Coturnix japonica: one gene and its partners. The protein of the gene in region 1 binds, or shares a complex with, the protein of each later gene. Links are inferred from orthologs where the notes say so. Each region holds a gene or a part of one and is shown on either strand. Other genes may lie near its edges.

Region 1 (5,047 bases):
GAACAGAAAATAACACAAAATCCCATGGTCAAGTTTCAAATGCGGCTTCATCTCCATTCTATGCACCATGAGATGTTCTACTCAATGCATTTGAGCTTGCAAGCACTTGTGCGTATACACATAAAAACATCATTAGTTGAAGTAGAACAGCAAGACTTAAAGGCTTGAAATGTAAAGGCCAGCAAGATTTCACCTTTCTTTTGAAGCCAAGTCCTCACTCTTTTCTCATTCCTTTGTTCAGTTGTTCCCCATGCTTCCTTGGGATCAATATCTTGCAGCTAGCTGTGGGCAAACCAGTGCTTTATCCCTTCTTGTCTACAAGGTAGAGAAGGCACCATCTTGACTTCTGACTGTTCTAGTTTCTTGGAGTGAACAACCCACTACAATGGCTGTAGAGCAGTGTGGATCCTTAACTAGGGACTTCATCAACTCCTAGTTACTCTTCTAGAAGGAAAGCAATTACTAGGTACTACTTTTCCCTACAGAGCAAGGGTAGTAAGGAAGAGCTAACAAAGCAATACATGCACAAGCGCGCTTAAGGAAACACATACATCCTGCTCTCCATTTTTTGTGGTGAGTAGGACTAGGGAAGTCATCTGGTGCCTGTACTCAGCATTGATGAGGCCTTACCTTGAGGTACTGTGTTCAGTTTTGGGCACCTCAGTACAAAAAAAGGACATTGAGATGCTGGAGCAGGTCCAAAGAAGGGCAACAAGGCTTGTGAAAGGTTTGGAGAATGTGCTAAATGAGGAGAGGCTGAGGGAACTGGGGCTGTTTAGTCTGGGGAAAAAGACACTGAGGGGAGACCTTATTGCTCTCTTCCAATATCTGAAAGGTACTTAAAGTGAGAGCAGGGCAAATCTCTTCTTATTGGTGACAGGATGAGGGGAAATGGCCTCAGGTTGCACCAGGGTAAGTTTAGATTGAATATCAGGAAAAACTTCTTTATAGAAAGGGTTGTTAAGCACTGGAATGGGAGGTGGTTGTCACCATCCTTGGATGTGTTTAAAAACTGTTTGGGTGTGGTGCTCAGGGACATGATTTAGTGGAGGGCTGTTAGATAGGGTAGTATGGTTAGGTCATGGATGGACTCGATGATTATTAAGGTCTTTCCCGACCTGAGTGATTCTATGATTTAGAACAAGCCTTTACTTCAACTCCACACGACAGCATGGCACAGCCTGGTACTTTGTAATCTGGGGTTTCTTGCTACCAGAGTCAACCAATCAAATACCCAGCCTACAGAGGCCTTCCTTTGCTTTGCATTGCATTGCACCCTTAGGTGAAGAAAGGTCCAGTCACCTGTTGTTTCATGCACTGCTGTTTTTACTGGGGCTTCATCTTTGAAGACTGAAGATATCCTTAAGAGAGCTGTAACTACTTTCTCTACATCAGATGTATCTGTCTGAAAGGCAAGGAAAAAAAAAGTTAAGTGGTAGCCAAATAAAGAAGATGGATCTCTGCCAAGGCAAGAAATACAGCCTCCAGCTGACTGACATCAGTTTTGCCTTGGTCACATTACAAGACATAAGAAACAACGTTATTCTGTGTAAAACATCTAGGGTGCCAGTTTAAGTATTAAATGCACCATCTGCTTCTATGAGGTTACTCAGAGTCACCAGGAAGAAGAAGCAAGTCTAGGACTGGAGAGAAAGCTACCACTTCTGGGGATTAATGATCCTGAGAGAGATTCAAGTGCAGCAAACCACTGGTTCACCTACCTGCTGAGCTATCAGCACAGAACACTTTGGCCCTAGCCGCAGCAGCTTCTCTGGTGATGGGAAAGCAAGGAATGTGGCAACATCCACAGGAGGAGATGGCGCTGGAGTTGAATCCTGAAACAGGCAGAATCCACCTCAAGTTTACTCTTAAAAACAAATAAATTGGTACAGCAAAGGCATATAGGTCTGACTTGCAAAGGCACATCAGGTGAGAATTTGTTCTACTTGTAAACTGTTTAAGGCTGGAATGAGGCTGGAGTTAAAACAGACACAATAGCTAGCGTGACTGCATGGCAGTGCACATGCAAGGTTCTTACCATACTCCAAAGATGGGAAGACTTTTTCTACCCATGTCTATCACAATGGCTGTTCAGCTTTTACCACTATACATGTGTGCACATGCACCCTTTAACAAAGCAGGTTGCCAAGTCACCCATTTTCTTTATCTTCCGCACGCTGTCTTCCTGCCCATTACCAAAGAGCCAATCCACGCAGGAATGTGAACTCCTGCCAGCACTGCAAACTCACTCTAAATCTTGTTTCCTCCTTAGCTCTTCTCCAGTAAGGAAACAAATGCATCCAGAACTAAACTTACCTGTGCACCAATTATCTTAGCAGTCATTGAGTCCTGTTCTCCCTGTCCTCTTTCCTTCAGCTGTTCCTCTTCCTCCTCCTCTTCTTCTTCCTCTTCTTCTTCCTCCTCCTCCTCCTCCTCCTCTTCTTCTTCCTCTTCCCCTTCATCATCACTGAAGTTGGACAGTTCACATATTACATTAATTACATACTTGCCACTCCAATATACTGTTATTCAATTTTTCCAAGAACAAAAAAGCAGCCTCTCAAGACTTAGTGTTAGAAATACACCTTCATCTACAGAACACTATGAGACCCCTTGAGACTTCAGTCATCCAGTTGACAGTGGTAAGCAAAGAGCCTGGAACATAGTCAGTAACTGAAGCCAAGTTAATTCCATCAACAAAAATGAGGTACAAGGCTTATTCTGCTTACAGAATCCCTTCACAGCACTCCACAGCACACTCAGACCAACATCCAGCTGCAGCGTTACAGTTCTTACATTAAACAAAGTAAGCGTTGATAAAAATTGGTAGAAAACTTCTCATTTAAATTGTGGTGCCCTGCCTACCTCAACGATCCCAGCACAGTTGCCATATTGAAGCCTTCAAGAATCTCCTGCAGTTGCTCACATCCCTCTTCTCCCAGGCAGTTACCTGGATTCAGGGGAGAAGGGAACACATTTAGAAGATGCACACAAGCTTGTTCTTGGGAACACTGTTATAGATTTTTATCTATATCTGTACAAATTAAAAAATAACATCAGTAATTTCTACATCAAGCCTTGGAGGCAGCGATGCAGAATCAAACAGCTGTTTAAGCTGAAGCTACTGACTCTAACAACTGGCTGAGTCCACGGTTTAAGACTGCTTTCAGAATCTAACCACTTCCTGTCCCAGCATCACCCAAATTCAGCTACTCCCCCATAACCATTTCCTAAATGCTAGAAATTGTAATCCTAGCACAGGTGATACTGTAACCACTCTTCCTAGCAGTTTCTAGCTGGGATCAGACTTTTACCTACCAAGTTTACTTACCATTGAGATCCAGTTTCTCCAGCTCTACCTTATCTTCAATAGCTTCAGCTACAGACAGGGCAGCATCTCGTTTGATCTCACAGAAGGACAAATTCAGTTCCTAAGAAGCAAAAAACCCTTTGTTTACATAATTCCCATAATGTCCATCATCCCCACAAACTTCACACGCTCACTAACTTTCTGGAAAGATTCTCATTTGAAAAGGTTCTTCACAAAAACAGATTTTTAATTGGTAAAGTGACATCTCTCTATCTCACTTAAAAATATTTTGAAACATACCATCATTAAAAGCAACCACTTAAGTGAAACAGCCACAAAGACCACATTATTATGACTGCTCACTTAAAAGGTAGCATCTGTTTCAGCCCTTAACAATCAGCTTCACCTACTCAAGAGGCATCCCTTAAAGAATCAACAGGAGGAATTCTGGAACCACTTCAAGGCAGAAAGGAGCATTAGCTCCTTAATTTCCTCTCATCTTGTCACATTGCCCTGGGATTCAGCAGCACGTCCAGCCTGCTGGGGTAGCAGGGACAGTCCTTTTGTGTCACCTTCTTCCAAAAACTGAAGATTTTAGTTTCTAAGCAGACTGTACACCAGCAGAGCCCAGCTGCCAGTCACATGACCAGGTCAGAACTCGCACACCAAATCTTACTGAGGAAGGGTAGCTGCTATAGTGAATGGAATGCACATTTGCCTTTTAATATTTACACTTCAAGTTAAAGCCTTCTAAAGGCAAACTATACCATCCCCCACCATTTCACATCACGTTCTGCCAATCCTGTCACTGAGATTTAATATTAACAACAGAAGGGAAGTCATTCTTGAACACAATGAATCAGCTACTATTGCTTCATACTACTCTCCCTTAACCATTTCTGCTCCGGAAGAGAAAAGGGTTTAATTTCCAACTGCTAGCACAGATAGTCCCATTAGAATTCTTACTTCAGTTTATCTGGGAAACTCAGGAATAAATTCTGGTGGAAGCAGTAGAAGTTTGAACAATGGATCTCACAACAAGTGAGACAAATTCTGTACCAGATGCATACACACAGATAAACATTAGCACTCTGCTGGATTTCTGGCTTTGTCTATAAGCTTCCAAGAATAGAAATGGTGTTCAGCATCTATCCCAGTGCAGCTGTGACCCTGGACAGGTGTTTCTAGAGATTCTAGTTTACTTATTTTACTGATTTGACAATATTTCAGACAGGTCTAAGTCCAATGCCAGTGAAGTTTAAATATTGATACAGGAAGTGATGGGACTGCCAAGAAAAAAAAACTACTTGATCCCTTGATACATCCCCAAAACAAGAAAAGACAACAACTGTATGAATGCTGAAATGATGCAGAGGTGACAAGATACTTGGGAAGAGGGATATCTCAGTCTGCTCTCATGACTCTCAGAGGTTCTAAAAGCAGATACTTTCATTATCAGACTTTCTGAAGAGCAATCGCTAAGCTGAACCAGCTGCTTAAAAAACATGAAGCGGAGCCTAATCACATTACTGGTACACCTTCACACAGAATAGCCCCCTGTGGATGTGGCGACGTCACTAATCTACAACTCACTTTCAGTTACAGGCATATAGCTATTGAGGTGAAAACCACCTTAAAGTAATCAGTATCAATAGGAGAAAGGACATGAAGACAGAAAACAAGTCATTTTCAAAAGAAACTCAAAGCTGAACAGCAGAAGGCAGTACCTTTAATTTA
Region 2 (5,495 bases), on another chromosome or scaffold:
CTGCTGTCTGAAATTACCCAGTATTCATCTGCTGCCCTGGGTGATGAGTTCACCTCAGTAGAAGAGCTGGCTTCTCCTGGAGGCTCAGAGTCTTAGAAAAAGATATGACAGCTCATATAAGAACATGACTGAAAAGGTAAATAGAGATCAAGTGATACCAGAACAGCACGCTAACAGTTCAGCATTAAATTAGGGGAACCGTGGATGGCCTACAAAGCTCCGTGTCTCCCCATAAAATCTGTGCTAGGAGATATACACCTTTCTGCCATAGCACATGACGCAACACTGCCTCAGGCTATTGGCTACGCAGATGATCACAATGAAGAGAAATGGCTCAGAACTTCAGTCTTTATGCTGAAGAACAGAAGCCAGTTTAATAAGGTACATGAAACCTAAAAAAAAACCAGGTGTACTAATAATGTCTGTAATGTGCAGTACCTTCTCTTCTCCTTTTTGGTTGAGCCTCATCAGAATCATCAGAATCTTCTTGCCAAGGATCTTCTTGACGAGGATCTTCTTGCTGAGATTGCTGAGTACTGCAGGGAAGAAAAAAAAACACACAGATCGGCATTTGGGAGCTGCAGATGAGATTCTAAGAGACTCATTTCCCTGCACAGGACCCAAACTAATCCTCCTACCCCAGAGCTCTCCCCTCCAAGCACCTCTAGGATCAGCCCAGACAGAAACAGGTGGCAGCATCTCCCACTGATGTCTCCCATCCAGCAGAGCACGCACAGGAAAATTAATTCACCCACTAAAACCGCATTAGGCCCCTTTCTCCAACATTCAATATATACTTTCTGACTGTTACAAGCAACCAAAAACTCTTAATACATGGGCTTTGCCTCTTTCCTCAAGGAAAGAAATACGCCAATGATTACTAAGCCATGTGAGTTCACTACAATGAGCTGCAGAGGGGAAAAAAAAAGCCTAAGTAGGACAGGAAATATAAGATGGGAAAGCAACGTGTGTACACCCACATAAATAACTCACTGCTAAATCAGTGCTTGCAAACCACTCATTGCAATCACTCTCAACTGCACCCCTCCTTACTAAGTGGTAGCTGAAGTACTGCATCAGTTGGCACAAAGATAAAGTCTAGAAATCTATTTATTAACGTTGGGAATAGACAGCTTATTTCTATATGTTTTTTTTATTTTCCTATTTGTTTCCATAAATGTAATGTGATGTTTCTGTCCTGCCCCCCCTCCCTGCATAGCAGGGACCCTTTGGTCCTCTGTGATCAAACCGGATTCTAACTGATTCTAACTGATTCTAACTGTTACATATCCCAGCCCTGCTCATCTCCCCCCTCTGGACTGACATCCCTCCACATCAGGAAGACAAAAAAACAACTTCTTAACTCTACATTTAATGTAACACAGAGGATAAACAACTTAACTCTACATTTAATGTAACACAGAGGATAAACAACTTAACTCTACATTTGATGTAACACAGAGGATAAACAACTTCTTAACTCTACATTTAACGTAACACAGAGGAAAAACAACTTCTTAACTCTACATTTAATGTAACACAGAGGATAAACAACTTCTTAACTCTACATTTGATGTAACACAGATGACATTGGTCATTACGGCGCTATTAACATCAGGCAGAAAATACCAAGGAATAAATGATAAACACAAATAATACCCGAAAAGACACACTCCTACTCAACTTATTTAATATTTCAGCAGGCTAAATTAAGAAGAAAACAATAACAAATTTGTCTTCCCATCCATTTTTGTAGCACCAGCTACACCTTCAGTAGAAGGCTCCCAGCTTCAACCTCTGCCCGGACGCAGCCATACACACCCTCCCCAGGGCTGCACTCAGGGCTAAGAGCAGCTTAAACACCCGGCTATGTTACCACCAGCAGCTTTAAAAGACAAGTGCCTCCCTCCCCCAGCTCCAATACAGCACCCGGTACCTGTTACAATGTCGTTTTTTCCGTTTACACTTAGTCGGCTTGGGTTTTGGAGGCATAGCTGGATTAGCTTGCTGTCAACGACTCCGAAAAAGGCTAGAAAAACCTTCTATGTCTTCAATATTTCTCACTCCGGGTAGGAGTGAGAGGAAAAAAAGCTCAGCTACAAGTCTGTAGCTGGAAAGCGCAACTCACGAAGAGTCCGAGCACTGCCCCTGTAGCAGGGGCTCCTCTAAGGCTCCAGGTGAAGCAAAAGCCAAAGGTTGTTGAGCAGTAGGCGCAAAAAGGTGGAAAAGACGCTGCAGGAGGCAGATGTGCGTCTGCCCTGCACACCACGATGGGCCCAACTACCCCTCGAAACCGTGGCAACAGCCAAACATTCTATTCCCCCCCAACTGTAAAGGTGGGGGGGGGGGGGGGTGTGTAAGCAAGGTGTCACAAAACCCCACTATTTCTGCGTACACACACCCAGGTGTGGGCATCTCTCCTCATCCAAACCTCCTCCTGCAGCGCTGCTGTGGGCACTTTGTGATAGTTTACCATTTGAAGCTGTAAAAATTGGACATTTTACCCACTTTCCCCATTACTTTCACCGTTGAGATCCATATTTTTTCCTCTCTCTGTTGTGGGAGACAACCTTTCTGCCCAAGTAGCAGACATGACGTAAAAGGCAACTTCTGTGTAACTTCACTGCCACTTTACATTGGGAATGGGGTGTGCTCAGGACATCTCTGCACCCAAAACTTCAGCTGGCCACGCTGTCCCATTCACCTGCATTTTGACTGATAAACAGCACTCGTGGAGAACTGAGGCTGTGGATGCCCCATCCCTGCAGGCATTCAAGGCCAGGATGGATGTGGCTCTGTGCAGCCTGGTCTGCTGGTTGGTGACCCTGCACACAGCAGGGGGTTAAAACTAGATGATCACTGTGGTCCTCTTCAACCCAAGCCATTCTGTGATGATTTTCTTGTAGAGCCTCAGACAAGGAGCTGAGAACACCTTTGCCATTTTAGAGACAAGCAGCATTTCAGACCTTATTCCCAACAGCACGGCTCTTGAAGCCACTTCAGCAGTTCCACCCTATTTGCTCCCCTCATTTGCAGCCATCTCCCAGCAAAGCTGAGTGCCCAAAGTGTGGCAAGCAGCCCGTGCTGCTCTCCCTTTGGGAAGAGGGATGGGGCAGGGATGGCTCTGCTGCGTGCCATCAAAAGCATTGCCTTTCCTTTCACTTTGCACTGAGTTGTAGAAGCTGGGAGGCCCCTTTGGAATCATGCAGCCCAACCACCTGTTAAAGCAGGTTCCCTATGGTACAAAAGAGCTCAGGGTCTTGAGTATCTCCAAAGGAAACCACACCACCCACTCCACAGCTCCGACACCACCACAGGAGCTTTTTTTTCCCTTTCATTTTTGTATGAAACTGAAGTTTCATACTTCTCAGTTCACGTCTCTTGCTGTGTCACACACAGAGCCCTACACATGGGCTGGAATAGCCAAACATATCAGTGTAAACATGCTGGAAAGGAGCTGTTTAGAGAAGGACTTGAGTGGCCAGTAAGGCCTATGGGACCCCGTGTGCCCAGCGGGCTGAGGGAGGCCAGACAGACAGGGGAGCGCTGCATAGAGCCAAGGGAGGGCAGTTCAGGGCCCGGAGCATGTCCCTGATAGGGGCAGCCGATCCGCTGTGTCCGTGCAGCAGCGGGGTGCTGTGCTCGGTGCTTTAGGTACATGGCCGGGCTCCTGCCATCACCCAGCTGCCCAGGCCGCTCCCTCAGTGCCGATGGGCGGCACGCTCTGTGGGCCCCACATCCCGTGCCGGCTGCGGGCCGGGCGCAGCGCGGAGGGACACGCGGCGGAGCGCTGACCTGAGGAACGGCCGTTTGCGCGGGGCCGGGGGTGGCGCGGAGCGGCGCGCGGCGGCGAAGAGACTGCCGACAGCCGCCAGCAGCCATTGGTACATAGGGGGACATGGGCGGCCAACGGACCGGCCGGCGCCGCCGGAACTGCGTCTGTCTCGCGCGACGGCGCGCAGGCGCAGACTCGCGGCAAGAGGTGCGCGTGCACGTGTCTCGCTCCCGGCGGCGGCGGCGCGCACGTAGCCCCCGCGCGCGCTCCCGGTTGGACGAAGAGGCCGCTATTGGGGGTGCGCATGCGCGTTGTGTGGCTGCTGTGAGGCCTGTTGTGTGCTCGGCCTGTGGTGGTGCTCCAGATTAGCCCAGTTTGAGGTTAACACAAGTGTTACCTAATGCTCAGCCTGCTCACGGGGCTGCTGGGTTTATTTAGAGCTTTGTGCCGGGTAATGTGTGCAGAATCAGCTCTCTTGCCCCTCTAGTGCAGGGAGGCTGTGCTTGGTCTCTAACATGAGCTGGTTAGAGGCTCAGCCCAAGGGCTGCTGCATTTGGGTGTTCTGGGGTGTGGTGTTGAGGAATATGATTTAGCCGGGAAGTATTGCAGCCTTTCAATACCTGAAGGGAACTTACTGCCAGGAGGGGAGTCAACTCTTGGAAAGGGCTGACAATAGCAGGACACGGGGAAATGGCTTTAAGTTAAAAGAGGGAAGATTTAGGTTGGATGTTATGGGGAAGTTCTTCACTAGGAGAGTGGTTAGGCCCTGGAACAGGCTGCCCAGGGAGGTTGTGGATGCCCCGTCCTTGGAGGTGTTCAAGACCAGGTTGGACGGGGCCCTGGGCAACCTGATCTAGTAAAGGTGTATGTTTGGTGGCCCTGCCAGGCAGGGGGGTTGGAACTACATGATCCTTGAGGTCCCTTCCAACCCGGGACATTCTGTGATTCTGTGATTCTATTGGGAATGGTTGGACTATATGATCTTCTAGGTCTTTTCCAACCTTGACAATTCTGTGATTCTGTGATTGCTGCCTGCTTACTATAAACCATCTGTTCCCACAGCATCCAGTGCTTGTTCAGGGGTCGGTATATTGCAAGCCAGGAAGCTGTGGAGCAAACTGACTCAATTCAAGAGCCCAGAGCAGAGCTGGCATTTCATGGGCTGTGTTTGTCACAGGAGGTCCTGCTGGTTTCCTGTGCCTGCAGGGTGTTGTGTTTTAATGAAGCGACCTTCCTCATTTCTTAACTGCTCCTTGTCTGTTTCAGTTGGCCAGAAGAGATGGCAGTGACCTCAGACCAAGCTGGATGTGGCAGCCAAGCTGTGAGGACACAGGCAGGTGTGTAAGCAGAGCGGTGAGGGCATGTATGGGAAGGGTGGTCTGACAGGCAGACCGGCCCGGCAGAGGGCACGGCAGCACTGTGCACAGCCTGCAGCTGAGAAATGCTGCTGTGGTTGCTTTCCCTTCCTCCCAGTGCTCAAGGTTTAGCCACATTCTGCAGCAAAGAGCTGGAGGGGGCGCAGGGAGTTTGTTTGCATTCCTGTGTTGGAAAAACTCTTTTGTCAGCTTAGTCCTGCAGAGCCAGGACTCGTCTGCAATGCTCCTGCTGGTTCTGTGTGCTGTCAGATCTGCAGGTAGAAGTTGCCTCTCTTGCACTGAGGCCAAGAGATAATGTGCTGTGAACTAGGAATTGTGAGACAGTGGGGTCTGTGTGACTGTGG
Region 3 (5,645 bases), on another chromosome or scaffold:
AAGCTACAATGTTATACCTTGACAAACCAGGAGCACTAGGACAGTGGTTAGGGCCTGGAACAGGCTGCCCAGGGAGGTTGTGGATGCCCCGTCCTTGGAGGTGTTCAAGGCCAGGTTGGACGGGGCCATGGGCAACCTGATCTATGGGGTCTCTATGGGGATCTATGGGGTCTCTATGGGGATCTATGGGGTCTCTATGGGGGTCTATGGGGTCTCTATGGGGATCTATGGGGTCTCCTGGGCAACCTGATGTAGTAAATGTGTATGTTTGGTGGCCCTGCCAGGCAGAGGGGTTGGAACTACATGATCCTTGAGGTCCCTTCCAACCCGGCTCATTCTGTGAGCACTGACAAGTAACATTTTTCCCTCTTGGTATAGAGGACTCACAGAAGCCATGACTATTTCTAACAGCACACAAACTCCAGTTTCTATTTCCTCCGAAACGAATAGCACACAACCAAAAAAGGAGACTACATGCAACATACACCATTGCTATTTATTCCCAGATTAGGAAAATTAAAAAAAAAAACCATGCGGGAAATCTTCCATTTCAACCATACCACATCCTATGGATGAGAAGCATCAGCTCAGCTCCTTTTCTTTCTCAGAACACCGTTTCCAGAAAGCGAATGAAGGGGAAGGAAGGGAACGGATAAACACGCCACTCCTGTGGTGGTGCCGCCTCAGCTGCCCGGGCCTCGCGCCCCTCCCCGACCGTTACAACCATAGCGGCCCCACAGCTCTCACCTCAGCCAGGTCAGCCAGCCGGTCCTTCATCCCCTCAGCTCCTCAGCTCCGCTCGTTCCTCACACAGCCCCGTTCCAACGACCGCCGTATCCGCCGCCGCCCCGCTCAGGCCGGGCCCAGCGCTCGGCCCCCCCCCCCACACACACACGACGTCACGACGAACCGGAGCCCGCACCGCAGTGCGCATGCGCCAACCGAGCCCCGGGGTGACACCGGGAAGCGCGCCTTGGATCTGCTGACGTCACCATGCTGGGCGGGAAGGGAGCTGCGCATGCGCGGGGCTGCGGCGGGAGGAGAATGGGCGGGAAAGGGCGCGGGAGCGCGGGGAGTCCAATAGAGACATGGGGTGGTACCGGTGTGGTTCAGATGTGGTCCCAGTGTGGATCAGGTTGCCCAGGAGACCCCATAGAGACCCCATAGAGACCCCATAGATCCCCATAGACCCCATAGAGACCCCATAGACCCCATAGAGACCCATAGAGACCCCATAGACCCTATAGAGACCCCATAGAGACCCCATAGATCAGGTTGCCCATGGCCCCGTCCAACCTGGCCTTGAACATCTCCAAGGACGGGGCATCCACAACCTCCCTGGGCAGCCTGTTCCAGGGCCTGACCTACCTTTAGTACCATCCCTTGTGGTCTATGAGATAAGCAAACTACAGCACAGTGCCGTGCCTCCTCTGCGTTTTCTTTCTGTATTTCCACTAAATGCATCTTTGCTCTTTGGAAGAGCTTATCAACAACTTTTTTTTCCACTATAACCTGAATGTGAGCGCTTAGGGAAGCGCTATGATGCAGCGTGGAGCCACATAGGGCTATGTCCTATATCTCTATGTCCTTTAGCAGGAGCATTGTGCCCCACTAAAGAGACATAGACACGAGGTGCCGGATCAGAACCAACACAGACACGGGCAGAACCGAACCGGGCCCAGCCCAAGTCCCAGCTCCGCCCGCTCACGTGACCCCAGCCCCTCCCCCTCCCCGCTGCCGCGCGGCGTCGCTGTCCGGGTATTTGAACCGCGCTTCCGCCATCTTCCCAGCGCCCAGTCACGGCACGGAGCGACGCGGTTAGAAGCCCCGGGAGAGGTAATAGGGATGGGATGGGGTTGGGATGGGGTTCTGTTCCCTTTAGGGCCGGGTTATGGGGATGTGAGGCTGCTGTGAGGTGGGTGGACGGTGTTATAACCGCCGGGTTGGGTTGTGTTGAGGCCGGGCCCGCGTGAGCGCCGTGCCTGCGTGGCGGCCTGTCCTTGTGGCCCTTATTGGAGCCGTGTGGGGTGAGAGCGGAGCCCGGCTCATCGCTGAGGTAACAGCGGGCGGTGTGTGGGATGGGAATCATGGCAGCGGGGCCTCCAACGGTCCGGGCGGCTGTTGGGGGGGGGGGGGAGGGGAGGCGGCGCTGCTCAGTCATGGTGGGATGGGGATGGGGGCTGCGACCGGCCCGCACCACCCGATGAGGTGTTTGGAACGGGATGTGCTGCTGTGTTTCATATATAAAGGCCGGAGCCGCCTTTTTAATAGTCAGGCCGCGGCTCGGCCCCGTTTATCGTAGCGTGGAAGCCCCAGGGGCGCGGTGGTGGCGGCGGCGGCTCTTCCGTTACGGGCCCCGGGGGTGGGCGGGGAGCTGCCGCCGCCATTACCGCGCGCTGCCGCCTCGTATGGGGCGGTGATGGCGAACCGGGACCAGGGCCGGGTGGGGAGCATCGGCCCGGGCCGAACTTGGGGCCTTTGCAGCGGCTGCCGATGGTTGAAACGCGGAGCACGCGGCCCGGGAGGCGGTTTGGAAGCCGAGAAGCTCGGCCGGCCCCTTCCGGCGGGGCCTTGAAGCAGCTCGGCTCATTGAGCTCACACATGCTTCCATTTCCCCCTGCAGACCCAGCATGGCCGCCCAAGGAGAGCCCCAAGTGCAGTTTAAGGTAAAGGATCCTTTCTATTTTTCCTCTCCTTCCATAGAAAAGTAGCAAGAAGAACTTCCAAGAAGTGCCGTGGATGGTGGATTTGGTTTTAAAGTGCTGACTTCATCGATGTGTTGAGCTGATCACGTACTGCATTGCCTCACAACAGCATTCTATTGTCCTATCAATCTGGTGCTATTTGCTGCTTTACCAAAAAAATAACTTCACATAAAAACACCACTTAAAACGTGGTGACTTCATGGAGTGATATTCACAGCAACGAACAAAGAGTGCTAAAAGTGACTTAGAGCAACTTGTTTTATGCCACATCAACTACTGGGGTGGAACATAATGGAGCAGAGCTGTTACCTTAACAGCCAGAAGTCTTATGGCTGCTGCATTGATTGATGCTTGTTTTTTTTACACTGTTCATCTAATATATCCCAATTGTTAGTAACACAGGTTTTCTTTTTTTCCAATTGCAAGATTACAGTTCTTTTCTCCAGCAATTCAGATGCTTGTATTTTATTATAACACATCTTTAGCACAATGTGTTCTAGTTCTCAGTTACAGGGACTAGTTAAGTTTGGACAGGACTTATAGAATGACTCGTTTAACAAATTAAAACCCAACATAGAAAGTTACTTCATTGGGAATTTTAGTGTTTTCTTCACGGTATTTTGTAAGACAAACTATGTCGCTCTGACCTTCTTTACTTAAATGTATTAACAGCTTGTCCTGGTCGGTGATGGTGGCACCGGTAAAACAACATTTGTAAAACGTCATTTGACTGGTGAATTTGAGAAGAAATATGTAGGTATGTCTGAAGAAATACTCAAGATCTTGTGTGTTACTATCGAAAGTATAATTGACAACTTGCTGACTGTTCTTTCCTATTACTGTAGCAACATTGGGTGTTGAAGTTCATCCTCTGGTATTCCATACTAATAGAGGCCCTATTAAATTTAATGTATGGGACACAGCTGGCCAGGAGAAATTTGGTGGTCTGCGAGATGGCTATTACATCCAAGGTAAGATGTGCTCATATGTAGTTATGTCCTGTGTTCTGTTCAGTTTGGCCACTCTGAGAGCTTTTAACATGGCTTACACTGGTGAGCTCCCTTATGAGTGTTGGAACTTTGTATAAATATAGTCAGATCTGTTTCCGTACTAAAACTTAGTTTCAGTCTGTGAAACCCATTGCTGTGGGCTTTGATTTTACTGAAGAGTAACTGTGCACCTTCAGTGATAGTACTCATGAAATTAAGTGGTTAAGAGGTAAGTATGCGTAAGTGAGTAAAAATTACCTGTATTGGTATCCTGTGCTGCTGCAAAGACTTGGAAGAAACATACTATAAAACATAAAATAGTATAAAGAAGTTCTACATGTCCTTGGCTGAGGCTAATGGCCTTTCTAAAGGTGTAGTAATAGAGCTTGACCTTGAAGATAAGGGACTGTTCTGTGAGTACTTCAGTCACCCATGTACCTTTTAACATTCTGCAAGACAGGTTTAGAGCCTGACTTTTCCTTTAGAAGTATCAGAATCAAGTGTTCTTTGGCAAGCTGTTCTGGACAGGGGCATTCTGAGATGTGAACTACAAGCTCTCCACTTATCTGAAAGCCTCAATAGGCTGAGATTAGTTCAGTAGCATTAAGACATTTTTCTCAGGTATTAAGGTGAACTAAAATTCTTTTGTAATCATTGTGTAGTCTGTGCCATGCAACATTAGAATTGTCGCATGATGCTGCATGAATAGAAGCAGCTGGCATTTAGAGTTAAGCACCAAACATATGACAGGGTCATGGGCTGAGTTCTGTGGACTCCTGCACAGTGATTATCTTGCACTTTGATCTGGTAAATGGCATGTTCTCAACTGTGAGACTGAAGAGAAACCTAATGCTGGCACCCCTAATAACTGATTATTGTGGGTACTCTTTCCCACTCCAGTTTATAAGAAAGTGGTTACCTGCCTGATGTAATTGTTTGGTTTTTTTTACAGCTCAATGTGCCATTATAATGTTTGATGTAACATCAAGAGTTACTTACAAGAATGTACCCAACTGGCATAGAGACCTGGTACGGGTATGTGAAAACATCCCTATAGTGTTGTGTGGCAACAAAGTGGATATTAAGGACAGAAAAGTCAAGGCAAAATCCATTGTCTTCCACAGGAAGAAGAATCTTCAGGTATGATGGCGTGAGTTCACAGGATTAGAGATACATTAAGTCTGTTAACTACATTTGAGTGCTATTCAGTCCTTCAGTGTTGGGAATAAGATGAAATTAGACCAAGTCACAGGAAAAAGAGGCACTATTGCATCCTGAAATCACCTTTGAGCAAATCACCTTTAAGCACCTTATGTTTAAGAGTATCAATTTCTGCCTATTGGCCTGAAACTCTGCATTTCTAATGTCTCATATCTCAGGTGCTTCTGAGGGCATTGACAGAAGTCATGCAGTTAAAAAGAATACTAAAGCACACCTGAGCTGATTGTGTGCAAGTTATTATATTGTAGGTATCGGTGGCAGACTCTTATTGAATATTCTATTTTTTTTTTCCTAGTATTATGACATTTCAGCCAAGAGTAACTACAACTTTGAGAAGCCGTTCCTCTGGCTTGCTAGGAAGCTAATCGGAGATCCTAACTTGGAATTTGTTGCCATGCCTGCTCTTGCACCACCTGAAGTTGTTATGGACCCAGCACTGGCAGCACAGTATGAGCAAGACTTACAGGTAAGTGAGGAAGAGTGCTGAAGTCAAATGACTGACAGATAAGTACCTGGATTCCTGGGGCAAGTAACCAAGAACAATTCTCAAACGTTACTTCTCTATTCCAGATTGCTCAAACCACTGCACTGCCAGATGAAGATGATGACCTGTGAGGGATGAAGCTGGAGCCCAGCGTCAGAAGTCTAGTTTTATAGGCAACTGTCCTGTGATGTCAGTGGTGCAGCGTGTTTGCCACTTTATTATCTAGCTGAGCAGAACATGTGCTTA

The links.
Region 2: the proteins of RANGAP1 (region 1) and SENP2 are in contact, whole or in part, in a crystal structure (PDB 2IO3), measured with the Homo sapiens proteins. The link is inferred for Coturnix japonica from reciprocal best matches to the Homo sapiens genes RANGAP1 and SENP2. Residues at the interface, in NP_001265580.1 of Homo sapiens: Glu467, Asn508, Thr511, Thr514, Arg515, Val518, His519, Leu523, Lys524, Ser525, Glu526, Asp527, Val529; in NP_067640.2 of Homo sapiens: Tyr408, His409, Trp410, Val477, His478, Asp495, Met497, Gly498, Gln499, Lys500, Pro536, His537, Gln541, Gln542, Asn544, Gly545.
Region 3: the proteins of RANGAP1 (region 1) and RAN are in contact, whole or in part, in a cryo-EM structure (PDB 9B62), measured with the Homo sapiens proteins. The link is inferred for Coturnix japonica from reciprocal best matches to the Homo sapiens genes RANGAP1 and RAN. Residues at the interface, in NP_001265580.1 of Homo sapiens: Ser29, Gly58, Asn59, Thr60, Asp86, Thr89, Gly90, Arg91, Leu92, Arg93, Ile96, Asp121, Ala123, Phe124, Gly125, Asp127, Asn151, Cys152, Gly153, Met154, Gly155, Arg189, Asn190, Arg191, Gln217, Asn244, Asp245, Asn246, Thr247, Asp273; in NP_006316.1 of Homo sapiens: Asp18, Gly20, Tyr39, Val40, Ala41, Thr42, Leu43, Gly44, Val45, Glu46, Glu70, Lys71, Leu75, Arg76, Tyr79, Asp91, Thr93, Ser94, Arg95, Val96, Thr97, Asn100, Lys123, Asp128, Arg129, Lys130, Lys132, Lys134.

The regions. Positions count from the first base shown.
Region 1 is NC_029516.1:45,368,620-45,373,666, reverse strand, and holds part of RANGAP1 (ran GTPase-activating protein 1), read right to left. Parts: coding exon 5,038-5,047; intron 3,432-5,037; coding exon 3,332-3,431; intron 2,951-3,331; coding exon 2,866-2,950; intron 2,468-2,865; coding exon 2,317-2,467; intron 1,836-2,316; coding exon 1,722-1,835; intron 1,406-1,721; coding exon 1,303-1,405; intron 1-1,302. UniProt on the Homo sapiens protein: GTPase activator for RAN. Converts cytoplasmic GTP-bound RAN to GDP-bound RAN, which is essential for RAN-mediated nuclear import and export. Mediates dissociation of cargo from nuclear export complexes containing XPO1, RAN and RANBP2 after nuclear export.
Region 2 is NC_029524.1:3,365,139-3,370,633, forward strand, and holds the start of SENP2 (sentrin-specific protease 2), read right to left. Parts: upstream 3,941-5,495; 5' UTR 3,891-3,940; coding exon 3,796-3,890; intron 2,284-3,795; exon of another isoform or gene 1,993-2,283; coding exon of another isoform or gene 1,937-1,992; intron 537-1,936; coding exon 439-536; intron 92-438; coding exon 1-91. UniProt on the Homo sapiens protein: Protease that catalyzes two essential functions in the SUMO pathway.
Region 3 is NC_029530.1:2,656,924-2,662,568, reverse strand, and holds the start of RAN (GTP-binding nuclear protein Ran), read left to right. Parts: upstream 1-1,705; 5' UTR 1,706-1,836; intron 1,837-2,623; 5' UTR 2,624-2,630; coding exon 2,631-2,666; intron 2,667-3,377; coding exon 3,378-3,462; intron 3,463-3,550; coding exon 3,551-3,676; intron 3,677-4,646; coding exon 4,647-4,834; intron 4,835-5,210; coding exon 5,211-5,381; intron 5,382-5,485; coding exon 5,486-5,530; 3' UTR 5,531-5,645. Other genes in the region: STX2 (syntaxin-2), read right to left, coding at 1,369-1,464. UniProt on the Homo sapiens protein: GTPase involved in nucleocytoplasmic transport, participating both to the import and the export from the nucleus of proteins and RNAs. Switches between a cytoplasmic GDP- and a nuclear GTP-bound state by nucleotide exchange and GTP hydrolysis.